2 linked regions of the Pelodiscus sinensis genome follow. The protein of the gene in region 2 purifies or fractionates together with the protein of the main gene of each other region. This does not show direct contact. Links are inferred from orthologs where the notes say so. Each region holds a gene or a part of one and is shown on either strand. Other genes may lie near its edges. The genes, in order: RAB3A and SYTL4.

What was found.
Region 1: the proteins of SYTL4 (region 2) and RAB3A purify together in Homo sapiens (affinity purification with mass spectrometry; 3 studies listed by BioGRID and IntAct, counting the BioPlex papers as one, with this or other methods). This does not show direct contact. The link is inferred for Pelodiscus sinensis from reciprocal best matches to the Homo sapiens genes SYTL4 and RAB3A.

Annotation. Positions count from the first base shown.
Region 1 is NC_134729.1:20,222,851-20,234,892, forward strand, and holds the start of RAB3A (ras-related protein Rab-3A), read left to right. Parts: upstream 1-5,618; 5' UTR 5,619-5,777; intron 5,778-12,042. UniProt on the Homo sapiens protein: The small GTPases Rab are key regulators of intracellular membrane trafficking, from the formation of transport vesicles to their fusion with membranes.
Region 2 is NC_134723.1:4,978,808-4,990,849, forward strand, and holds the start of SYTL4 (synaptotagmin-like protein 4), read left to right. Parts: upstream 1-4,490; 5' UTR 4,491-4,626; intron 4,627-4,634; exon of another isoform or gene 4,635-4,807; intron 4,808-4,844; exon of another isoform or gene 4,845-4,975; intron 4,976-10,445; exon of another isoform or gene 10,446-10,600; intron 10,601-11,366; 5' UTR 11,367-11,408; coding exon 11,409-11,530; intron 11,531-11,778; coding exon 11,779-11,994; intron 11,995-12,042. UniProt on the Homo sapiens protein: Modulates exocytosis of dense-core granules and secretion of hormones in the pancreas and the pituitary. Interacts with vesicles containing negatively charged phospholipids in a Ca(2+)-independent manner.

The sequences.
Region 1 (12,042 bases), on a different chromosome or scaffold from region 2:
ATCATTTCAGATGGGGGGGGCGAGCTGAGCATGCGGTGATAGTGGGGGAGGGCAGAGTGAGGGCATGGGGGGAGGCAATATGAGGACAACAGCTTCAGCAGTGTCACTGAGCATGCTCAGTACAAGCCCAGCAGCACATTGGGGCGGCCAGGGCGAGGGAGGGATGGAGACACCTCACGTCTTTCCAAGAGCTACCGAGTCTCTGGAAAACAGAGTGTCTAGACCCCGCCATTTGTATAGGTATAGTTGGGGTTATATTTTACCATGTGCGTTACTTGGTACTTATCAGCACTGAAGTCCATCTGCCTTTATGTTGCCCAGTCTCCTAGGTTTGTGTGGTTCCTCTGTAACTCTTAGCAGTCCGCTATGGACTTAACTACTGTGAGTCCTGTTGTGTCTGCAAATCTTGCCACCTCGCTGCTTTCCCCTTTTTCAAAGCCATTTATAAATAAGTTGAACAGCGCTGGTCCCAACACCGCCCCCCTGGCGCACGCTGTTTATTTCTACCCTTTGTTTCCTAGCTTTTAAGTGGCGTATCTGGCAATGTTTTCCTGATCATCTAAAGAGCCTTCCATTAGTTCATGGCCACTCAATTTTGGAAGCCCTGAGGGTGACAGTCATAGACTCATAGAATATTAGGACGGGAAGGGACCTCGCGAGGTCATCGAGTTCAGTCCCCTGCTCTCCCGGCAGAACCCAGTACTGTCTAGACCATCCCAATGATTGAGGCTCGACAAACCGCGGCAAGCTCTACTCGCCAGCCCCGCACCGCGCATGCGCCAGACCGGCACTGTGCATGCACACAGCACCTTTGAACAGGGCGAACGGAGCGACCAGCTGAAATCTACTCACCCACAGTGATTTGTCGAGCCCTGCCAATGATACTCACAGCACATGCCGAGGCCTGCAACTTAAGTGTGGTTGCATAAACGTGCAAGTATATATGCAAATATATGCAAATTGTTTCTTTCACACTGACGGGCATAAATACAAAGATTAAGGCAAGACGACACAACATGCAAGCCCCATTTAAGTCACTTCTGCTGCTATTACTAAAATGCGATATTTCCCCGATTTCTACCCATGTGACAGCACTTTTAATGAGCAATGACAGTCCAGGAATTTAACTACTAAAAGGCATCCCATCAGAAGACCATTATATTGACGACTTTTTTGTTTTGGCTCCCACCTGTGGGCGGCATTGAGTCGCCCTGCAAGTTCATTGACAAGCCCTTTGTTACCTTAATCACCCTGCCTCCCTGTGGCTATAAACAATCCCCTGCCCCAAAGGCAAAGCTGGGAGCAGCACAAGCTGGTTGAAACACATTTCCAAGCCCAGCGCTTTGCAAACTTTTTTTCTCATGACCCAGTTGAAGAAAATCGCTGATGCCACAACCCGACATCATGTGACTGGCGTGCAGGCTCTGGGGCAGGGCTGAGGCTGGGCTTTGGGCTGCAGGAGGGGGCTCCGGCTTTGCGGGGGTCATGGGTAGGACAAGTGGGACTTACCTTGAGCGGCTCCCGGGCAGCGGAGGGGGCTAAGACAGCTTCCTGTCTCTCCTGACACCGCAGACCATGCTGCCCCCAGAAGCAGCCGGCAGCAGGTTCCCAGCCAATGGGAGTGTGGAGCTAGTGCTCAGGGCAGGGGCAGTGCACTGAGTCCTGGATGCTCTCCCCCCACATCTAGGAGCTGGGCCTGCTGCGGCCGCTTCTGGGGCGCAGCGCAGTCTGCGGTGCCGAGCTGCCTTAGCTCCCCCCGCTGCTCACCAGATCCCCCTGCAGCTACGAGACCCAGCGCCAAACACCCAGGCCTGGGTTGCGATCTGTAATTTGAAAACCCCTGGCCTAGCCCCAGGCACAGCTCTGCACATACATAAGAACATAAGAACGGCCGTACTGGGTCAGACCAAAGGTCCATCTAGCCCAGTATCCTGTCTGCCGACAGTGGCCAGCACCAGATGCCCCAGAGAGGGTGGACCGAAGACAATGATCAAGCGATTTGTCTCCTGCCATCTCTCTCCAGCCTCTGACAATCAGAGGCCAAGGACACCATTTTATCCCCTGGCTAATAGCCTTTTATGGACCTAACCTCCAGGAAATTATCTAGCTTCTCTTTAAACTCTATTATAGTCCTAGCCTTCACAGCCTCCTCTGGCAAGGAGTTCCATAGGTTGACTACATGCTATGTGAAGAAGAACTTTCTTTTATTAGTTTTAAACCTGCTACCCATTCATTTCATTTGGTGTCCTCTAGTTCTTCTATTTAGGGAACTAATAAATAACTTTTCTTTATCGGTCCTCTCCATACCACTCATGATTTTATAGACCTCTGTCATATCCCCCCTCAGGGTGTGTCTAGACTACATGCCTCCTTCGACGGAGGCATGTAGATTAGCCAGATCGGAAGAGGGAAATGAAGCCGCGATTAAAATAATCGCGGCTTCATTTAAATTTAAATGGCTGCCCCGATCTGCCGATCAGCTGTTTGTCGGCAGATCGGGGGAGTCTGGACGCGATGCCCCGACAAAGAAGCCTTTCTTCATCGACACAGGTAAGCCTCGTGAAACCAGGTTTACCTGTGCCGATGAAGAAAGGCTTCTTTGTCGGGGCATCGCGTCCAGACTCCCCCGATCTGCCGACAAACAGCTGATCGGCAGATCGGGGCAGCCATTTAAATTTAAATGAAGCCGCGATTATTTTAATCGCGGCTTCATTTCCCTCTTCCGATCTGGCTAATCTACATGCCTCCGTCGAAGGAGGCATGTAGTCTAGACACACCCTCAGTCTCCTCTTTTCTAAACTGAAGCAGACCTCAAGTGTGAAATTTAGAGACTCCAACTTTTGGGGGGGTGGAGCCCTTGACCCCTCAATGGCGCCCCCGGGATGCTCTGTGCTGCGTTGTTTCCCAGCCTGCTTTGGGGGGACCCTCCTGAGCGGCTGCAGGGCCCCATGTTCTCTGGGGACTGCTCCTAGCCCCAGTTGATGCTTTGGAGGTGACGAGATGATTCCGGGGTGACTCAGGGGGTGCTGTTCCCGGCTCTTGGGCAGGTAAAGTGAGCTGGGCTGTGACTCAGGGGACTCACTGCCTGAAGCCGCTGCGGCTGAAAACAGCAGCATGTGTGACATACGGTGCTTCCATCTAATCCCCCCCATGGTTCGCCTGAGCCCTTTGGGACAGGCCGCTGGCTGGGCCTCAGGGACCAGCCAAGCCAGAGGCTGTCCCAGGCAGTGCTGGCCCTAGGAGCAGGGCTCAGGGCGGCTGTGACCCAGCAGGGCAACCTTCCCCTGAAACACTTCGCTTAGCTCTCCCAGGAGCCCAGGTTGGGATAAATGGAAGTGACCGAGGTTAGGGGCCATAGACCTCCCCAGCTTGGAGAGCAGGTGGGGGGTAGGGTTGCCAGGTGTCCAGTATTCACCCGGACAGGAAATACCCAGGAAATACCGGACATGTGCAATGTGACATGTGCAATGTCCGGTATTTCCTGTTTCCCTGGGATGGAAGCCCGGCGGGGACAATGTTCCCCTGCCGCGTCCGGCAGGGGCGGGGGAGTAAGGCGCGCAGCATAAGAACGTAAGAACATAAGAACGGCCGTACTGGGTCAGACCAAAGGTCCATCTAGCCCAGTATCCTGTCTACCGACAGTGGCCAGCACCAGGTGCCCCAGAGAGGGTGGACCGAAGACAATGATCAAGCGATTTGTCTCCTGCCATCCCTCTCCAGCCTCTGACAAACAGAGGCCAAGGACACCATTTTATCCCCTGGCTAATAGCCTTTTATGGACCTAACCTCCATGAATTTATCCAGCTTCTCTTTAAACTCTATTATAGTCCTAGCCTTCACAGCCTCCTCTGGCAAGGAGTTCCACAGGTTGACAACACAAGAACTTTCTTTTATTAGTTTTAAACCTGCTACCCATTAATTTCATTTGGTGTCCTCTAGTTCTTCTATTATGGGAACTAATAAATAACTTTTCTTTATCAGCCCTCTCCACACCACTCATGATTTTATAATTGACAGCAGAGTGGCAGCGGAGGCAGGAGGGGGCAGTTCCTGGGTGCCACACTAGGGGGTGCTGATCTGGGGTGGGAGCAGAGTGCAGGCTGCTCTGGCCCAGGTGACCAGCAGAGCCCCGGGAGCTGGCCATGTGACGCCTCCCTCAACACCAGCTGCCTCCCAAAAGTGACATGTCAGGACGGGAGTGGACCTGGGGCGGCTTGCACCATCGGCCTGTGGGGGGATGGCATGTCGAGATAGAACAGGCTGTGACGGCTTGTACCACCATCCTCTGGGGGGATAACATGTCTGGACATGGGGGGTGGCCTGTACCACCGTCCTGCGGGGGGATGACTTGTTGCGATAGAAGAACAGGCTATGATGGCTTGTACCACTGCCCCATGGGGGGGATGACATGTCCGGACAGGGGAGCAGGCCTGGGGCAGCCCGTACCATCAGCCTGTGGGGGGATGACATCTTGAGATAGAACAGGCTGTGACGGCTTGTACCACCATCCTCTGGGGGGATAACATGTCTGGACATAGGGGGTGGCCTGTACCACCGTCCTGCGGGGGGATGACTTGTTGCGATAGAAGAACAGGCTATGATGGCTTGTACCACTGCCCCATGGGGGGGATGACATGTCCGGACAGGGGAGCAGGCCTGGGGCAGCCCGTACCATCAGCCTGTGGGGGGATGACATGTTGAGATAGAACAGGCTGTGACAGCTTGTACCACCATCCTCTGGGGGGATAACATGTCTGGACATAGGGGGTGGCCTGTACCACCGTCCTGCGGGGGGATGACTTGTTGCGATAGAAGAACAGGCTATGATGGCGTGTACCACTGCCCCATGGGGGGGATGACATGTCTGGACAGGGGAGTGGGCCTGGGGCGGCCTGTACCACCATCCCACAGGGGGGATGACACATCAGGACAGAGAAGCAGGCTGGGGTGGCTTGTACCACAGTCCATACGGGGATGACATGTCCAGATAGGAGGGTGGGCCTTGGCTGGCCTGTACCATCATCCCACGGGGGAAGCAGGGGAGCAGGCCTGGGGTGGCTTGAACCACGGTCCCATGGGGGGGATGACATGTAAGGGGGAGCAGCTTCAGGTGGTTTGTACCACTATCTCCTCTGGAGGCAGGTGGGAACTGTGACAGAAGAGGTGGCATATGGTGGCTTGTACCATTATCCCTTGTGGGGGGGGTGACTGTTGTGACAGGGAGATGTGTGCTGGCTTGCTGTGGCGGGTCTGTTGCATGGTGTGAGTTGGCTCATACCACTGCCCCGTGTGCAGGGTGGTGCCCTGTCATGACAGTGGCGAGGGTGAGAACCAGCTCATACCACTTGTCCTTGGAGGTGTGGGATAGATCTTGATAAAGGAGATGAAGTGTGGTGGCTCGTACCACTGCCCCATGGTGGGGGGGGGGCACGTCACGTGGCTATGACAGCCATTGAACCAGGCCAGCTGGCCTCCCTAGGAGGCTGGAGGCGGTGGGCCCGCGAAAGGACCGATAGGTGCACCCGTGGGCTGTCAATCATTAGTGCGAGCCCAATAGAAGCACAGGACTGGGCAGGAGTCCCGCCCCTGCCTGAGGAGCCTGAAGGAGAAGCTCGGAATGGGTCGTCTCCGGCCTCCTGACGTCACTCTGTCATCTGCATATCGGTCCCCGCCCCCTTTGGAATGCTGGCGACGTCAGCAGGGCTCTGCAATTGCCGGGGCCGCGCGCGCTGCTGCTGCATTTGGTGCAAGAGGAGCCCGGGGAGCGCGATCTGGAGGTGAGCGCGCGCCCCCCCCCCGTTTCCTCCCCGGGTGCCCCCGCGTGCAGGGCGATAATCTTCATTTGACACCTGCGGGGGGGGTGATGCGCCGGGAGGGGCTCGTGGCTGCACGGAGCGCAGGGGGGAAGCGAGCAGGGTGCTCGGTCCCTGCTGCTGGGCGGGGGGGGGGGGGGGGATGCTGAGTGCACCTAGCAAAGCAATGGGGGGGGGGGCGATGTACACAAATCGCTCCGGCTGCTGCAAGCACACAGCCCTGCCCTCTGCAAGGAGGGAGGGGGGGGGGGGTATGATCAGCCTTCTGCATCCATTTCCGTCTCAGGCCGCCCGGGGGGGCTGCGTGCAATGAGCTTCCGCCCCCCCCCCCACCTGTGCTGCGCGTCTGGCGTGGCCTCCTGCCTCTCCTAGGCTTGGAGTGGAGGTGATGGGCCGTTGTCGGGGCTTGCATCCCCCGCATCCATCCCAGTGGTTTGCCGAGCCCTGCAAAGGTGCTTTCTCCGCTGGGGAGGTGGGGAAGCCTGGAGGGGCAGGGAGCCGAATAGGGACCCTCGGCCCTAGCTGAGACCTTTCTCTTTGGTGCCAGGTCAGAAGACTGGGGCTGGAAGAATAACAGATCCAGAGGAGCCATTCTGTGCATGAAGCCTTTTCTGCCAGTGATGGGAGGGGGGGGAGGATGCTAACTGATGCTGCTGCTGGTTAAGGATGTTTTAATATGAATGATTGATGGCAAGGCGGAGACTCAGGCAACTGAATAGCTTGAATCCACCTGCATCCACTCCACCCCTCCGCCTCTGACAGTCATTTATTAACGCATCCAACCAAGCATGCCACCGAGTTGGCCGTCCAGTGCGGTGGTGTATAAGGTTACTGCATTGCTCACGCTTTGAAGGGTGGCATAATTCACTTCCCATGTGCCTACTGCTGCTTTTAAAATAGCAAAATGGATGGGGTGGGGGGGAGCGACTGTTTGCCTGGGCGGCGGTGCTGTCGTGACGCTTGCGTGGCGAAGGTGAGCCAGGGAACGGGGTGGCCTGCCTGCAGCGAGGGGTGTTTCGTAGGTGATCGCAAAGAATGAAATTTCCAGAAAAACACAGCGAGGGAGCTGGAGAATAGGGCTCGCTACTAGGGCAGAAGCTTCTGGTACAACATTATGATGAACCCTGCTAGCTCGACATGACAGACTACAGAACAAAACTGATTGTCTCAGTCCGTATCGGCTACCTCCCTCAGAAAAACATTAGCTCCTGAAAGATCCTCCATGCCCAGGTCCTAGGTAGTGCCTGGGTCCTCTTTCCCTCACTACATAAGGTGCCCTGCCTAGCTCAGGAGAATGCTCAGACTTTATCAACCCAAAGCTGCCTCCACCCCAAGCCTGGCTCCGCACAGGTGACCAGTGTCTGTTGTTTTACACCAGGATGCCGTGACGTTATGGAGAACCTTGCCACAGACCCATGACAAATAGAAGGGCCCCTAGTGCTCTGTCCAGGGGCATTACAGAAACAGAGTCTGTCTCCAAGTCTGTCGAATAGTGATAGAAATGTAGCCGTGTTAGTCTGGGGTAGCTGAAGCAAAATGCAGGACAATGTAGCACTTGAAAGACTAACAAGATGGTTTATTAGATGATGAGCTTTCGTGGGCCAGACCCACTTCCTCAGATCAAAATCAAAATTTTGATCTGAGGAAGTGGGTCTGGCCCACGAAAGCTCATCATCTAATAAACCATCTTGTTAGTCTTTCAAGTGCTACATTGTCCTGCATTTTGCTCCAAGTCTGTCGGCATTGTACCTTCTCTTGTGTCCCATAGGGTGGGATTTGTTCAGATGTGTCTTGGTTTGGGGCTTGGCAGGAGAGAGCTGCTTTTACTTGGGTGGCACACACTAAGTCGGGGGGCAGCGGGACTTGTAGGGAATCTCCTTCCCTTTCTCCTGGGGGCTGGGATCTGCGTGTGCCTGTCATGGGAGGGTTGTGTTCTTCTGCGGATTGTCTAATACAAAGGCTTGGAGACAACATACAGCAAAGCTGCATATCGGTTTTGAGTACTGTAATTAAAATGCACTGGAGGAGCTTTTTCACTAAGCGACTGGCTTAATGTAGCAATAAAATGTTTCTGTAAATATGAACTTGGTCCCCAAGGGCCAAATGACTAATATTATGTCGAGGACCATTATTTGAGTTAAATTGCACATTGTTGAAATGGGTTAAGTGACTAGCTGGGTTGCATAGTTCCCGTTGGATCTGGATTGCTGACAGAGTGGCAGTGTAAACAGGATTTATTCATACAGAGGGTGGTGAAAACCACATGTTCAGAGGTTTTCTCCTGTTCGGCTTTCAAGAAATGGAGCAGTGCCGATTTCTCTTAGCTGGAAATTATCTCTTTCTCTCCCCCCCCCCCAAAAAAAACCCCCAACAACTCTGAATTGTGCTTCCAGCTCAGTACACCATTAAAACTTCCCGACTGTATGTATGCACAGTCATAACTGCCCAGTCCAATAAGTCCCACTGTTCCCTATTTTGGGTGTCTTTAGACTCGGGACCGCATGTGTCAAACAAATAAATCCTCCTGGGTGAGTTTATAAACCCCGTTTGACAATGGGAATCAGTGGCTCTGTATTTCTGGGTGAATTTTGCCCTCAAAAATTTAGTTGCTCAATTTTGCCTTGTGCATCTAATGCACACTGCATTGTGTGCACTCTTCCTTTGGGTCTGCTGCCTGTCACCATATTGCTTGAATATCAAGTGATGAAAGACTAAAACAAAGGTACAGGAAATGGGATTAGAGAATCAAAGCAGGATTCTCCCCAGCAGTGAATATGAATGAGGTTGTAAGGTCACGTTTCCTGATATTATTTCTCACAGAGAGGAGGGGGAAAAATTCCTTTGTGGATGACCTTAAAACAGACAGTAAAGGGCGAAAACCTGTACACCCCTTTGCAGGCAGTACCCCACATACTTCAATCTGGAAGCTAATAGCTCATGCTGCTGTGCATTCTGGTACTACTCAGATGAATCGTAGGACTGGAATGGACATCGAGTCCAGTCTCCTGCCCTCACGGCAGGACGAAGGACTATCTTAGCCGTTCCCGACAGGCGAAGAGGAATCTAATCTCTGTTTTATAAACAGGGCTAGGGAAACGTTCCCAGAGATTTGGAACTATCAGCCAGGGTCTGCTCATCTGGAGAGCTTCCTGCCCATTGCAGGCGGGGGGGGGGGGGGGGGGGTGCCGCTGTTCTTCTTCCCATCTCGTGTCTGGTGCCCTCCCTGCTGCAGGAACATGACCTTGTTCTTGAGTTTCCCTGTGGTGCTGAGTCTAAATGCTTGAAACTGACGGGCCTCGTCTGCTGCTGGAGAAGAACCGGGCTCTGCAGCAGAGGCATTGGAAAGGTCTCTGCAAATTCAGGAAGGTGCTCTTGCATCTCCTCCTACTCTTCCCCACGCTGGAAAGTGTAGGGTTACCCCTTCCCCAGGGTTGCAGAGGGGTCAAGGGGCTGTCCCTGATGAACCTTTTGAGGCACATGGGCAGGGGGGTCTCCAATCAGCCTGGGAAGGCTCGTGGCAGGTTCTCCCTAGGTCCTTCTGGCCTTGGAATCTCCTGCAGGCATCTAGTGTTGAAAACGGGCCCCAGAATCATTCCCAGAGCAGGTCTTGTCAAACATCCCTTCTCTCCTCCCCATCCTCCACGGAGCTGCAGGGGTCCTGTGTGCACAGGGGCCTTGGGACGGGCACCAGGGTATTCACCTCAGGTGGAGGGGTGCTTTTTTTGGAAATGTGGACCACAAAGGTGTGAATGCACCCCCATGGCCCCCCAAGTAAGCAGGGATATGAGCCCCAGCCTTCCCCCGGCCGGGCAGAGCATGGAGGAGGGAGGCTTGTCTGCCCCTAGCCAGCTGGAGCATGCTTCCTTGGGGGATCTTGCTGGGGGGGGGGGGTTGCACCCTTCACGTGTCTCCTTTACCTCCCTCTGGCAGGGCTGGGTCTCCGCTCAGTTGCGGTGTTCTGCTGTTTACATTGCAATAGTCCCTCAAGGCCTTAGCCAGGCTGGGCACAGTTGTGCTAAGCACTGTGCCAACGCACAACCCCTGGAGAGACGAGTTAAAGCTTTGAGGTCTGGCTCTGCAGGGAGGAGTTAGGGAGCACAACCATGTCTACACTGGGAAGGGGGGATAGCGGTGTCGTTATGGCCCCATAGTGCAGCTCCGTGGTGGGCAACCTGGGGGCTGTATGCAGCCCCTCGGGGTTCTACACATGGCCCGTGAGACCGTCTGTTTACCGTCGCTCGCGGGTGCCGGATTCCGCGGTTTCTGTCCACGTTGTTTTTTCCTACTGGTGTTACTAACATAACACGCACGTAAAGCAAAGGCATGGGACGTGGGGTGCAGGCTGATTACGCACCGCACTGACTGGGAGAGCCGTGCACCCCCTTTGCCTCCAATCACAGCGCTGCCACGGTTCAGTCGGCACCCCCTGCAAATGCCAGGCCCGCAAGCGCCGTGAGCAAAACAACCCTTTTCCGGAAGACCGTCTTGGTTACAGCAATCTTGTGGCCCAGAGATGGAGGCTCACTAGCCTCGGGTGCCCATTGCTGGGGTAGAAACAGCCTCCGTGTACAGAAGAGTTCTTCCTGTCGGTGCAGGAGCGCTGCCCCCGTGTGACAATTACCTAGGTCGCTGGAGGGCAGAGCTGTCTTTAGGATTTACAGTTCCCTTTGCCTGGTGGTAGCTGGGCAGGAGATGACGTGATTTTTACCCTCTTCAGCAACACACTATGAAATAGTTTAAAGCAAATTTGATCCTAAAGTCTGGTCAACTAACCCAGTAAATTCAGGACAATGTAGCACTTTAAAGACTAACAAGATGGTTTATTAGGTGATGAGCTTTCGTGGGCCAGACCCACTTCCTCAGATCAAATAGTGGAAGAAAATAGTCATAACCATAGATACCAAAGGATACAATTTAAAAAAAAGTGAACACACATGAAAAGGACAAATCACATTACAGAACAGAGGGGGGATGTGGGGGGGCGGGGGGGGGGGAAGGAAGGTGAATGCCAGTGAGTTAATGATATTAGAGGTGGGGAAAGAAAGATGTCTGTGAGTTAATAGTATTAGAGGTGATAATTGGGGAAGCTATCTTTGTAATGGGTAAGATAGTTGGAGTCTTTGTTAATTCCTCTGTGGAGAGTGTCGAATTTTAGCATGGATGCCAGTTCAGAGGATTCCCTTTCAAGTGAAGATTTGAATGTCTTCTGAAGTAGGATGCAGGTTAGCAGGTCATTCAGACAGTGTCCTTTCTGGTTGAAATGACAAGCAACTGTTTTTTCTTTAGCAAAATGCAGGACAATGGAGCACTTTAAAGACTAACAAGATGGTTTATTAGATGATGAGCTTTCGTGGGCCAGACCCACTTCCTCAGGTCTGGCCCACGAAAGCTCATCATCTAATAAACCATCTTGTTAGTCTTTAAAGTGCTACATTGTCCTGCATTTTGCTTCAGCTACCCCAGACTAACACGGCTACATTTCTATCACTGTTTTTTCTTTGTGATCCTGTCTAATGTCTGTTTTGTGGGCATTGATTCTTTGGCGAAGTGTCTGAGACGTTTGTCCAATTGTCCCTAAATTGTATCCTTTGGTATATATGGTTGTGACTATTTTCTTCCATTATTTGATCTGAGGAAGTGGGTCTGGCCCACGAAAGCTCATCATCTAATAAACCATCTTGTTAGTCTTTAAAGTGCTACATTGTCCTGCATTTTGCTTCAGCTACACCAGACTAACACGGCTACATTTCTATCAGAAACAGACACGCTATCCCAGGAGCTGACACATGCCTTTTTCTGGGGCTTCACTGCTACCTGACTGGCTCTTTCCCAGATCTCTGGCTGGATTTTAACTTTTCAGTTAACTTGCTTCCTCCTGAGAGGGTCTGAGTCACAGAGCAGGAATCGGAAGAGGCAGATGGGGAGGAGGGGAGACATTAAGACCCAGCAATGCCCCAACTTTTCGGGCGCCCAACACAGGGGCCTATTCTGCCTGTGGGTCCGGACGGCTCTGCCGGAGGGCACGTCAATGCAGCCCTTGGAGGTGTGATTGCAGCGCACTCACACGTGGCTAAAAACAGCAGTGAGGAACTAGCACCCCGAGCTTCAGCGTGGGCGCATGATGCATGTGTGTCCCCAGCGTGCGTGCACCGTTGACGCCGAAGCCCTGAAGCGCAGGACAGGTGGGGCTCCCGACCCTGCCCTAGCGCGTGGGGCAGGCGGGCCTGGG
Region 2 (12,042 bases):
TGTCCGGTATGATCTCTGAGTCCTTTAGGGTGTGTCTACACAGCAGCATAATTTCGGAATAACAGCCATAAAATAAATATGAAATAACAGACGGCTTATTCCGACTTCTGTAAACCTCATTCCACAAGGAATAACGCTCATTCCAAAATAGCTATTTCGAAATAGCTGTAGTGTGGACGTTCCACTGCTGCTATTTTGAAATAGCTCCTCCCCAGGGCCATTCAAACTAATTACTCTCCAGTGCCTGCTAAGGCTCTAAATGGACATAGCACATCCACATTAGGGGAGCCTGCCTCGGACTAATTTTGAGGCTTCTCTGTAGTGTAAATGCGCTATTTTGCAATAAGCTATTTCAGAGTATTTCTTCTGGAATAGCTTATTCCTAAATAAGTGTACAGTGTAGCCGTACCCTTAGTCTTCCTCTTTCACACCCCCCATTTACATGGACTAGTCTAGGGAATGCAGAGCAGAATTCAGATATGTGAGGTCCCAAGATTAGAATTGCAGGGGGCATTGGTCTGTGTGTGCATGTGTGCACAGTTGTATATCCACAGTAGACTATCTGGGCTGCAGCATGTCAGAATTACCGTGTGCTAGGAGAGTGGTGTGTAGGCCCAGGACTGCAACTGTGATGATCGGGGGTGATGTGGGGGCGGCCAGAGAGAAACAAGGCCCGTGTGAACTGTAGGCTCACAGTGGAGGAGACTCAGGCGGCAGTCCCCACATAGACGAGCAGGCAGCTATCTACAAGGTGTGACCTGATAGGCTGTAGTGGTTGGGCCCACGTAGCTGTAATGTTCTGAATATTAGAAATGTCTCCTGGGTTAAACTTTTTTCAGTCGCTTAGGCTATGTCCACACTCGCGGCTTCTTGCACAAGAAATATGCAAATGAGGCTGAGCGTGGAATATCGCCGAGCCTCATTTGCATACCTAATGAGCCGCCAGTTTTGCAGAAGAGGCTCTTGCGCCAGAGGTAGCTGTCTACACTGCCCCTTCGTGCGCAACAGAAACCCTCTTGCGCAATGCTGTTCTTCCTGAAAAGTAATTGGTGTAACAGCATTGCGCAAGAGGGTTTTTGTTGCAAAAGAAGGGGCAGTGTAGACAGCTCCTTCTGGCACAAGCGCTTCTTCTGCAAAAATGGCGGCTGCTTAGGTATGCAAATGAAGCTCGGTGATATTCCACGCTTAGTCTCATTTGCATATTTCTCACGCAAAGACGCCGCGAGGGTAGACATAGCCTTACTGTGTCTTGTTGTATTGTACACTGGCTGTGCACTAACGTGATCCTTCTTTACTGAGTAAACTGCATGTCCCTTCCTAGGAAGGAAATACCTACATTTTCTAGATTTAGGAAAATGTTTACATTTAGGACATTCCTAAATAGGAACTAGAAGAGTGTATTGGACTCCCCTCCCAGGGTTAGAATTCACAATGCAGATCCCCACTTCTTTGAGTTTGATCTTCTCTGACTAGGCTGACGGAAGCATTCACTCCCCTCACAACATGAAAAAATGCATCACTCCTAGCAGTATTGGCTTGTGTGTGCTACCTTGGATTGCCCAACAGTAGCTCGAGGTGGGAATATGCTGCAGGTCAGGATTAAGATTAAGCGGCGGGCGGGCCCCAATACTGGATTAGCAGTGTGGTTGGAGATCAGCAGCAAGGTGCATTGGCAGTGCTGTGTGTGTGTCAGAGCTGACACCTGGCTGGCCTGCTTCGTGCCTGGCTCCAGACAAGTCCTGCCTGTCAGCCTCCTTCAGCATCACAGAGCAACTGTCAAACCCAACCTCATGCAAGGCTGTTCAGGCAGCTGCTGCTTGGTAGGATGGGTGTTCGGGGGAAAGGGGTGAGAGGGAAGCTCTGCTGTGTCACCTAAGCAAATGTTTACTGAGCAGCCATGCTCCTGAGAAGTGTCAGACACCCCCAAATCGTAATAATTGCAGGTATTCTGTATTGCTCAGGATTGGGCCCACAGCACAGCCCTTTTCATTATTGCTAAGATGGGGGGACATCCTGTTAGGGGCTCAATGTGAGTCTTTCTCAATGTGAGTGAGTTTCAGGTTGTGCGGTGTGTTACTGGGGCAGCTTTTCACCCCAGGAGAGGGGCTCAGCTGTGGCTCAGGGCAGGCCACAAAGAAAAATTAGTGGCATGGTTCTTGGCATGTGCTTAGAAATATTTGTTCATATGGCAGCAATCACCACACACAACCGGGGCAATGCCAGACAGGTCCACATTGCCCAGTGGCCTGCACCAACACTGGCCACCCCCAGCATCTGCAAAAAGCCCCAGAGTAGACAATTCAGAAATAGCCTTCCTACGGGTGTCTCACCAGCAAACTGAGTTCATTGTTGGCTTATATCTTTAGAAATAAGTTCATATCCCTTAATTTATGAAATCCTTTCATCGAACTGGATACTCTCCTTGTCCACATTCATGTCAAGCTCTTTCCTGTCTTGGAGCAGTGAGTTCCACAGATGATTATGCATCACATAAATAATGCATTTCCTTTCATCTGTTTTATATTTGCTGCTTTTCAGTGTCATTGACTGCCTGCTTGTTCTTGCATTGTGGAATGGGGTTACTGGGGTGGGGGTTGGAACAGGGCAGGCGTTGGCTCAGGGTGGGGCGATACCAGGGTTGGGAGAATGGAATAAGGCAGGTGCTGGCTCCGCATGGGGGTTACTAGGGCTGGAACATCGTGGGGGTTGGTTCCGGATGGAGTTTACCAAAGTGTGTATGGGGGGGCTGAGGCAGGGTAGGGGCTGGCTGAGGGTAACGGTAACCGGGGCAGGGTTGGCTCAGCATGGGAGTGACTTGGACTGCAGGGGCTGGAACAGCTCTGGGGTTACTAGGGCGGGGGCTGGGGGGGCTGGAATAGCTCTGGGGTTACTAGGGCGGGGGTTGGGGGGGCTGGAATAGCTCTGGGGTTACTAGGGCGGTGGTTGGGGGGCTGGAATAGCTCTGGGGTTACTAGGGCGGGGGCTGGGGGGGCTGGAATAGCTCTGGGGTTACTAGGGCGGGGGTTGGGGGGCTGGAATAGCTCTGGGGTTACTAGGGCGGGGGCTGGGGGGGCTGGAATAGCTCTGGGGTTACTAGGGCGGGGGTTGGGGGGGCTGGAATAGCTCTGGGGTTACTAGGGCGGGGGTTGGGGGGGCTGGAATAGCTCTGGGGTTACTAGGGCGGGGGCTGGGGGGCTGGAATAGCTCTGGGGTTACTAGGGCGGGGGTTGGGGGGCTGGAATAGCTCTGGGGTTACTAGGGCGGGGGTTGGGGGGCTGGAATAGCTCTGGGGTTACTAGGGCGGGGGCTGGGGGGCTGGAATAGCTCTGGGGTTACTAGGGCGGGGGTTGGGGGGCTGGAATAGCTCTGGGGTTACTAGGGCGGGGGCTGGGGGGCTGGAATAGCTCTGGGGTTACTAGGGCGGGGGCTGGGGGGCTGGAATAGCTCTGGGGTTACTAGGGCGGGGGCTGGGGGGCTGGAATAGCTCTGGGGTTACTAGGGCGGGGGTTGGGGGGCTGGAATAGCTCTGGGGTTACTAGGGCGGGGGCTGGGGGGCTGGAATAGCTCTGGGGTTACTAGGGCGGGGGTTGGGGGGCTGGAATAGCTCTGGGGTTACTAGGGCGGGGGTTGGGGGGGCTGGAATAGCTCTGGGGTTACTAGGGCGGGGGTTGGGGGGGCTGGAATAGCTCTGGGGTTACTAGGGCGGGGGCTGGGGGGGCTGGAATAGCTCTGGGGTTACTAGGGCGGGGGTTGGGGGGCTGGAATAGCTCTGGGGTTACTAGGGCGGGGGCTGGGGGGCTGGAATAGCTCTGGGGTTACTAGGGCGGGGGCTGGGGGGCTGGAATAGCTCTGGGGTTACTAGGGCGGGGGTTGGGGGGCTGGAATAGCTCTGGGGTTACTAGGGCGGGGGCTGGGGGGCTGGAATAGCTCTGGGGTTACTAGGGCGGGGACTGGGGGGCTGGAATAGCTCTGGGGTTACTAGGGCGGGGGTTGGGGGGGCTGGAATAGCTCTGGGGTTACTAGGGCGGGGGCTGGGGGGCTGGAATAGCTCTGGGGTTACTAGGGCGGGGGTTGGGGGGGCTGGAATAGCTCTGGGGTTACTAGGGCGGGGGCTGGGGGGCTGGAATAGCTCTGGGGTTACTAGGGCGGGGACTGGGGGGCTGGAATAGCTCTGGGGTTACTAGGGCGGGGGTTGGGGGGGCTGGAATAGCTCTGGGGTTACTAGGGCGGGGGCTGGGGGGCTGGAATAGCTCTGGGGTTACTAGGGCGGGGGCTGGGGGGCTGGAATAGCTCTGGGGTTACTAGGGCGGGGGCTGGCCCCGCATGGGGGTTCCCAGGGCAGGCTCAGGCTGGGGCAGGGGCTGGCTCAGGGCGGGGGTCCATTCCCGGGGCGGGAGGGGGGCGCTAGTGACCCCGTGCGCGCTCCACCCGCTGCCCCCGGCCCGCTCCCTTTCCGTCGGGCGCAGGTGAGTGGGGCGCGGCCCCTTTAAGGCTCAAGCCCCGCCCCCCGGGGGGGAAAGTTTCAGCCGGGCCGGCAGGCGCCGCAGGTAGCGCTCCGGGCCCCGCCCCCGGCTGCTGGGAGCCCCTGGAGCCGGGCGCGGCGGCGGATCGGGGCGGCGTCCGCAGGCAGGTCCCGGGGCCGGGGTGCGGGAAAGGGGCCCCCGCCTGACGCTCTGCCGGCCCTGCCCAGGGAGCCGGCCCCGGGCCCGCTGGCTGCGAGCCGCGCTTCGTGGCGCTGCGGGCGCGGCTGGGCTTTGGGAGAGCGGAGCCCGGCTGGCTGCGGACGCGTTCCCCTCCGGAGCGAGTGGTGAGCGAGCGCTGGATCGCTGTGGCCCGTGGGAATATGGGCAAGTGGCTGCAACTGCTGGAAAATTTCAGTGGTTCCATGGTTAAACCGGCTCCCAGCGCGCCCTGACTCCAGCCTGCCAGCCTGCTCCCTGCTCCCGGCGAGCCAGCTGCTGTCTCGGATACAGAGGTAGCGGCGCGGGGTGACAGCCGGCTCCCCCAGTGCAGAGGTAGCGGCGCGGGGTGACAGCCGGCTCCCCCAGTGCAGAGGTAGCGGCGCGGGGTGACAGCCGGCTCCCCCAGTGCAGAGGTAGCGGCGCGGGGTGACAGCCGGCTCCCCCAGTGCAGAGGTAGCGGCGCGGGGTGACAGCCGGCTCCCCCAGTGCAGAGGTAGCGGCGCGGGGTGACAGCCGGCTCCCCCAGTGCAGAGGTAGCGGCGCGGGGTGACAGCCGGCTCCCCCAGTGCAGAGGTAGCGGCGCGGGGTGACAGCCGGCTCCCCCAGTGCAGAGGTAGCGGCGCGGGGTGACAGCCGGCTCCCCCAATGCAGAGGTAGCGGCGCGGGGTGACAGCCGGCTCCCCCAATGCAGAGGTAGCGGCGCGGGGTGACAGCCGGCTCCCCCAATGCAGAGGTAGCGGCGCGGGGTGACAGCCGGCTCCCCTGGAGCAGAGCTGCTGTGTCTGATACAGAGGTACCAGCGTGGGGTGACAGCCGGCTCCCCCAGTGCAGAGGTAGCGGCGCGGGGTGACAGCCGGCTCCCCTGGAGCAGAGCTGCTGTGTCTGATACAGAGGTACCAGCGTGGGGTGACAGCCGGCTCCCCCAGTGCAGAGGTAGCGGCGTGGGGTGACAGCGGGTTCCCCCAGAGCGGAGCTACTGTGTCTGATACAGAGGTACCAGTGTGAGGTGGCAGCCAGCTCCCCCAGAGTGGAGCGAGAACCTGGGCAGAGCCGTGAACGTTAACCAAAATGTGCAGGGTTATTTGTTAACCGTAAACTTTACATGGTTAAACGGTCACATCCCTAGGGCAGGTGGTGCAATCCCTGTGATGCGCGGTGTGTGTGTGTGTGTGTGTGTGTGTGTGTGTGTGTGCATGGCTGCTTAAGCTGGTCCAGAATCTGCTCCCATTCCCTAATTGTTGGTTTCTAGCCCTGGGGCAGTTCAGGGAGGAGAGGAAGACTTGCAGCTTGTGTTGGGCGTGGGGAGTTTGTTTCCCTATCTGTTCAAGGGCCCCTGGTATCTTACACAGCAGTCCCAGGCTTCCTGCTGCAGGAAAGGGCCATGACTCTAATAACTCAGGTCCCTGCTTTGTTCTGCTTGTGGGAGGATGCATTCATTTCTATCTATGAGGCGAATGTCCTGTCATGAAAGAAGGAGGGCTGACATCTACCCAGATAGAAGCAGTATTTGTCTTACATGCTTGGACAGTGCTTGGTGTGCATGTGGAATCATAGCTATCGGACTGTTGTGTTGAAAGCTTCTCCACTTGATAGATGCAGGTAACCTTCCTCCAAGTCACTTTCCTAATTAGAAAACCTTAAACAACGAATAGTCTAGTAGCACTTTAAAGACTAACAAAACATGTAGATGGTATCATGAGCTTTCGTGGGCACAACCCAATTCAAACCTTCATCCATTTGCAAATATTTTCTCCCTTTGCCAGAGGTGTTCCTGTGTTGTAGCACACTGGGAGACCGGCCAACTTCAGATGGTGCAAGCAAGGTGGATTTGTTTACAGGTGCAGAGGGGTGTGTGTGTGTGTGTGTGTGTGTGTGTGTGTGGGAGTGTGTGTGGTTGGTATAACTTCTGTGGTCAGAAGGTGTAAATTGGAGAATTTCAATTCACACCTTGCAGTCACTTTTGTGTTATCCCTTTGCCATGCCATACGTCAGAAGCTTGAATCTGAGGACCCAATCCAGAGATTGTGTCGAAGCGGGTGGAGGGGTGGAACAGCTTTCATGTGAGGACAGATTAAGACAACCAGGACTGTACAGTTTAGAAGAGAGACTTCTAAGTATGGCTCTGATAGAGGTCTATAATCATGACTGAGGTGGAGAAAGTGAATAAGGAAGGGTTACTTACCCTTGGGGTAACCCATGAAGCAGGTATCAATGAAATTTATAGGCTGAATATTTAAAACAAAAGGAAATGTGGAAGTCAACTTGTGGAACTCATTGCTAGGGGAAATTGTGATGGCAAAAGTATAATGGGGTTCAAAAAAAGAATTAGACCAGCTTGTGGAAGATAAGTCCCTCAATGGCTATTAGCCAAGAGAGTTGGGGCCATGCTTTGGGTAGTCCTAAACTTCTGACAGTTGGAAGCTGGGACTGGATGGTAGGGGATGGATCATGTGATAAATTGCCCTGTTCTGTTCATTCCCTCTGAAGCACCTGACACTGGCTGCTACTGGAAGACAGGATACTGGGCTGCGTGGACCCCGTATGTCGGCTTGTCTGACCCCGTATGTTCATTCTTACAGTCTAAAGCCGTGGTGTCCAATGTGCTTGCTATCATGTCTGTTGCTTCAGAACTGGTTGGACGCCACGGTTCTAAAGGGTCTGGGTTACGTGTAGGAAAGTGAGAGTTTCAAGTCCAGCTGTTGTAATGCATATGCAGAGTGGATTAGAAGCAGGTGCGATCTAAAGAGGTAAGCCCTCCCTCTGTATGAACCAGAGTTGGCCCCGAGTGTATGCACTTAAACGTAGGCGAGGGAGGGTTCTTGCCTTTCCTATGCAGTTCCACATACAGAGAAGCTGGGCAGTCCCAGACCTTGTGTGGAAGTAAGGCAATGCCAGACACTTGGTTGGCTTCCCCTGGGTTGAAGGGAAGCCGTCAAGAAGCCGTGGAGCTGTGTAGCTACAGGAGAATAGAGCAGTGGCCCTTCAAAACTGGATTGAGATGGCTCTTTGGAGGTGGAAGCGGGTGCGTCTGAGTCCGGTTCTGGAGGGTGCAGTGTTCCTAAGGAAGAATCAAACTCCCCTCCCTTCACCCAGCAGACCAAGGAGCAAGCATCGGCGGGGGAGAAGGAGGGTTGGAAGTGTAGTGAGCAGAGAGCATATGGCTAGGCTAGGGGAGGTCCCCTTAGAGAGAACTGGCTTCCCATCAGAAGCAAGAGCTTCCTCAACTGGTTCAGCTTCATTCTTTCTCTTCCTGGTCACTGGGGTGTAAGCCGACACTGCACAGCGAGAGGAAAGGGAGCTGACCTCTTTGCATGGCACTCCTGGGCTTATGCAAAACAGCCTCCACTGCTCTGGCCTGGGTCCTTTCCCGCATCTGAGTGTGACCGTTCCATCTTCAAGTGGTGGCCCTTCTCAGCAACCAAAGTTTGGAGCAGGGGCCCTGGCAGTGAATGTCAGGGAGGATACTGGAATAGGTGGGACCGCCACGAACAAAAGAGCCTTCTGGGGCAGCTGCGCTAACGAGAGAGCTCATCAAACTCCTCAGAAGGAAAGATTCAACGTTCCTCTGTCTGGGTGCATGATTGGCATCTTAGTGTTAGTCGGAGCAAAGATCGGTCCGGACCATCTCCGGATCACCTGAGGCCAAGACGAATACTCCTGAATATAGAACAAAAAGGGAAAATGCTTGTCCCTCTGCACACCTGCCTTAGGACACCTAAGTAATTTAGAAAAGCCAATTCTAAACAAACAATCTAAGCAACTTCCATCCTCTCCCAGCCTGGCCAGTGCTCCAGCTGGCCTAGGAGCTGCTGCTGTTGATTTTCCTCAGATTTAGGACTTTAGGCAGCCATCAGACCAGAGCTTCTCTGTGAGGGAAAGTGCCACCTTGGAGTTGAAAAGGAGAGACCAGATGAGGGCATCCCCAAAGCCTGCTGATTGTGGGAGAGTTGAGGGTGTTTATTCAGCCCTTGGGAGCCCAAACCTTATGCTGCAGTAAATGTGGAAATGGCCAGCCTAGTTGTGATTTAGAGAGAGCCCAGATCTACATCCTGCTTCTTAGATCAAATCCCAGTAGCTGATACGGACTCGGAGCAAGGTGTGAGTTGGAGGATTACATTCTGAGTAGGACAGTGGGCATGGAGTAGGAAATGAATCGGCGTGTACAAGCATGTTGCTGGCAGGGAGACTGGCGTTACTTTGCTTGTTTCTGGATGCTCGATCTAAGTGCCGGTCGCTGGGGTACGAGGCTTGCCAGGATAACCAGCAAACTGCAAGTTGTGAAGTAAGAAGTGCACCTCGAGGGTCCAATCCCTGACAGGGCAGAGAGATGGCTTCAGTCAGGCTTGGTAGTTCAGATAACCCACTTACGCTCCCTATTGCTTTTGTTCTTATTGCTGCTCTTTGTTGCTTTCCTTTTAGCACCCAGATTCTAGCTTCTTGCATGTTTGTAGAGCAAGGCTGTTTAAAGGAACAGGGACAGTTTAAAATTCACGTTACGTTTCTTACGAACCTAAATAAAGGGCATCTTGGATTATTAAAAACGGAGTTTTAACTGGTTTTCAATGTTGTTTTGCTTGAACAATGGCCAGTTGATCAGTTTCACTTGCCAGTTCTCACATGCATTAGCACAGTACTGGGAACCAAAGGGTGATGCTTTTTAAACGTTCCTGGCAGCGTTACTAGTGATCTCAGAATCTTGTAAAAATCTTTCTCTTTTTAATGAAGAAACAAAATATTGAAGCCAAATCCTTTGTCTTTGACACCACCCTTTTGCAGTGGAAATGGTGGGCCTTTTTAAAACTACTACAGCACACTTAATAGACTGAGAAGGGGACTAAGGAACCAGCAAAGATGAGTTCTGTAGTAGAAGTGTCTCTTTAGAGTGCTGAGGTTTGTTTGACCTTTCGTTAAAGAGGTGGTTTACAAAATGGGGTGAGAATTTTTTTCACACCTGGTAAGTTACAATCTAACAATGCAACCTATTTTTGCTTAGTGTCTTCAATACGGAAGATGTACTTGTCTATCTAGGGCAGTTAACGAATGACTTGCTCTGTCTTGACTTGTGTTCTCGAGTTCATTCATAGGTAGGACCACACTAAATTCACGGTCCATTTTGATCAATGTCATGGGCATAGGATTTAAAAAAAAGTCATGATTTCAGCTGTTAAAATCTGATATTTCACCTTGATGTAATTGTAGGGGTCCTGACCCCCAAAAGAAGTGGTGTATGTGGCAAGGTTAACGTAGGGGGGTGGTAGTACTGCCACCTTTCTGCACAGCTGCTGGCAGTGCTGCCTTCAGAGCTGGGCAGCGGTGGCTGATGGCCAGAATCCCAGTTCTGCAGGCAGACCTGCTGCCAGCAGCAGTGCAGAAGCACAGATGGCAGGATAGGATACTGCCACCCTTAGTTCTATGCCGCCCTGAAGGCAAAGCAGAAGTAAAGGGGACTCCCTCACCCCTTCAGCTCTTTTGATCAGGGCTCTCAATCTGAGAAATGCGAGCCTCCCCATGAAATCTATGTGATATAGGGTAAACGCACCCACAAGGTCCGGGATTCGTTTTTCGTGGCCGTGAGTTTGTTAGGGCCCTTTTCATAGGCAAAGCCGAAGGCCCGGGTTGGCTTTCTTTTATATTTCAAAACAAAACTTTAACCCCCCTACCCCAAACACGTTTGAGCTGGAACGGAATGAGATTCGAGACCGCCTTCCCGGAGTCCTGGCCACCTGCTCCCACGGAATCTCTGAAGTCCAGCCCAGCTGTAGCCATGACAACCGAGTGTGATGTCATCTCGGAGGCAGGAAGGTCACTCCGGCAGCATCGGGAATGTGAACTTCCTGCAGGCAGTGGGGAAAATGCACCCCGGGAGAAAGCAGGGGTCCAGACGAGGAAATGAGCCAGCAAGGCTCGGCGTGAGCCAGGCAGGGACGGCGCTCGCGCTGCTCTCAATAGCCGTGTCTGCTTGCTGTCGTGTGCCACGCAGCCCCCGGGAGCCTGCTCCTGCCATGGGGGAGGGATGATTCCGAAGGCTCTTGCTTGGTGCTTTGCTGCCGTGATTCTGCTGGGCTGAGCTGGGACAGGAAGTGACCTAGATATGGGCCTAGATTTACAGAAATCGTGCTCATGGCAGCTTATAGAGGGGCCTGATCTTTTTGTTCGTTTGCCTTCTCTGGGCTCAGAGGGGAGTCTCGTAGGCCAGGTCCTCACCTCCATGGAGCTGGGGAGGGGTGTGGGGCTCAGACTCTTGGGCAGGTGCCAGCAGGGAGGAGCAGTGCTATAGCTCTGAACTCCAGTCCATCCTGCTCTTCCCTCCGTCGGCCCCCTCGGTCTGGACGCAGGCAGGAAATGCCAAGCGCGCTGGTGGAATGACTCAGCCACTGGATGGTTCCACCGAGGCTCATTAAGGCCACGTGCAGGGAGCCAGGTGCTCCCAAACACGGAACCTTGTGTATTGGGCACTGGGCGGGCCGGCTCCTAGGCCAGGGCAGGATGCCGGGATCCTGCTGTTGTGACTAATGCACGGAGCACCGGGGACTCCCTGCAGCCTCGCTTTGAGGTGGGCCCCACGGCCGCAGTGAGGGGCAGTCGGACGACTGGGGGGTCAAGGCGTTATTGCTTCGTACAAATCCCCAGTGGGTTACGGGACCCCAGGCACTTGGCTGGACTAACTTGCTAACTTGCCCCCAGCTCTGAGGAGTCCAGCGGCTGCCAGGGGAGGGCCGGCAGGTCATGAGAAAAGCCATGTCGGAGGCTATGGACCTGTCCTTCCTGTCGGAGGCTGAGAGGGAGGTGATCCTGCAAGTCCTGCAGCGAGATGAAGAGCTCCGCAAAGCGGAAGAGAAAAGGATCAGGTGAGAGCCTTCCCCTGGCAGGCCCTGCTGCCTTACAGGCAAAACCCGCCAGGCCAGCATGTAGCAGGGTGGGGACGGGTCTTTCTGCCCTGCTGGTGTTGTGCCCTGCCCTTCCTGGAGGGGGAAATGGGTGGTGGTAGCTGCCCAGGCATCACTGCCCTGTTCGGACCCGCTTGGAGGGGCAGCCTCGACTCCGCTCCCAGGCCTGCGTGTGGGTTTAGCGGCTCCCGGGCGTGTGTCCCCGACAGGCGGCTGAAGAACGAGCTGCTGGAGATCCGGCGCAAAGGGGCCAAGCGAGGCAGCCAGCGCTACAGCGAGCGGACCTGTGCCCGCTGCCAGCAGAGCTTGGGCCGGGTGAGCCCCAAGGCCAACACCTGCCGCGGCTGCAACCACCTGGTGTGTCGGGACTGTCGCTCCTACAGCGTCAACAGCACCTGGCGCTGCAAAGTCTGCACCAAGGAAGCGTGAGTGTGTGTCTGCCACAGTCCTGGTGCCCTCCTGCTCCCGTGCAC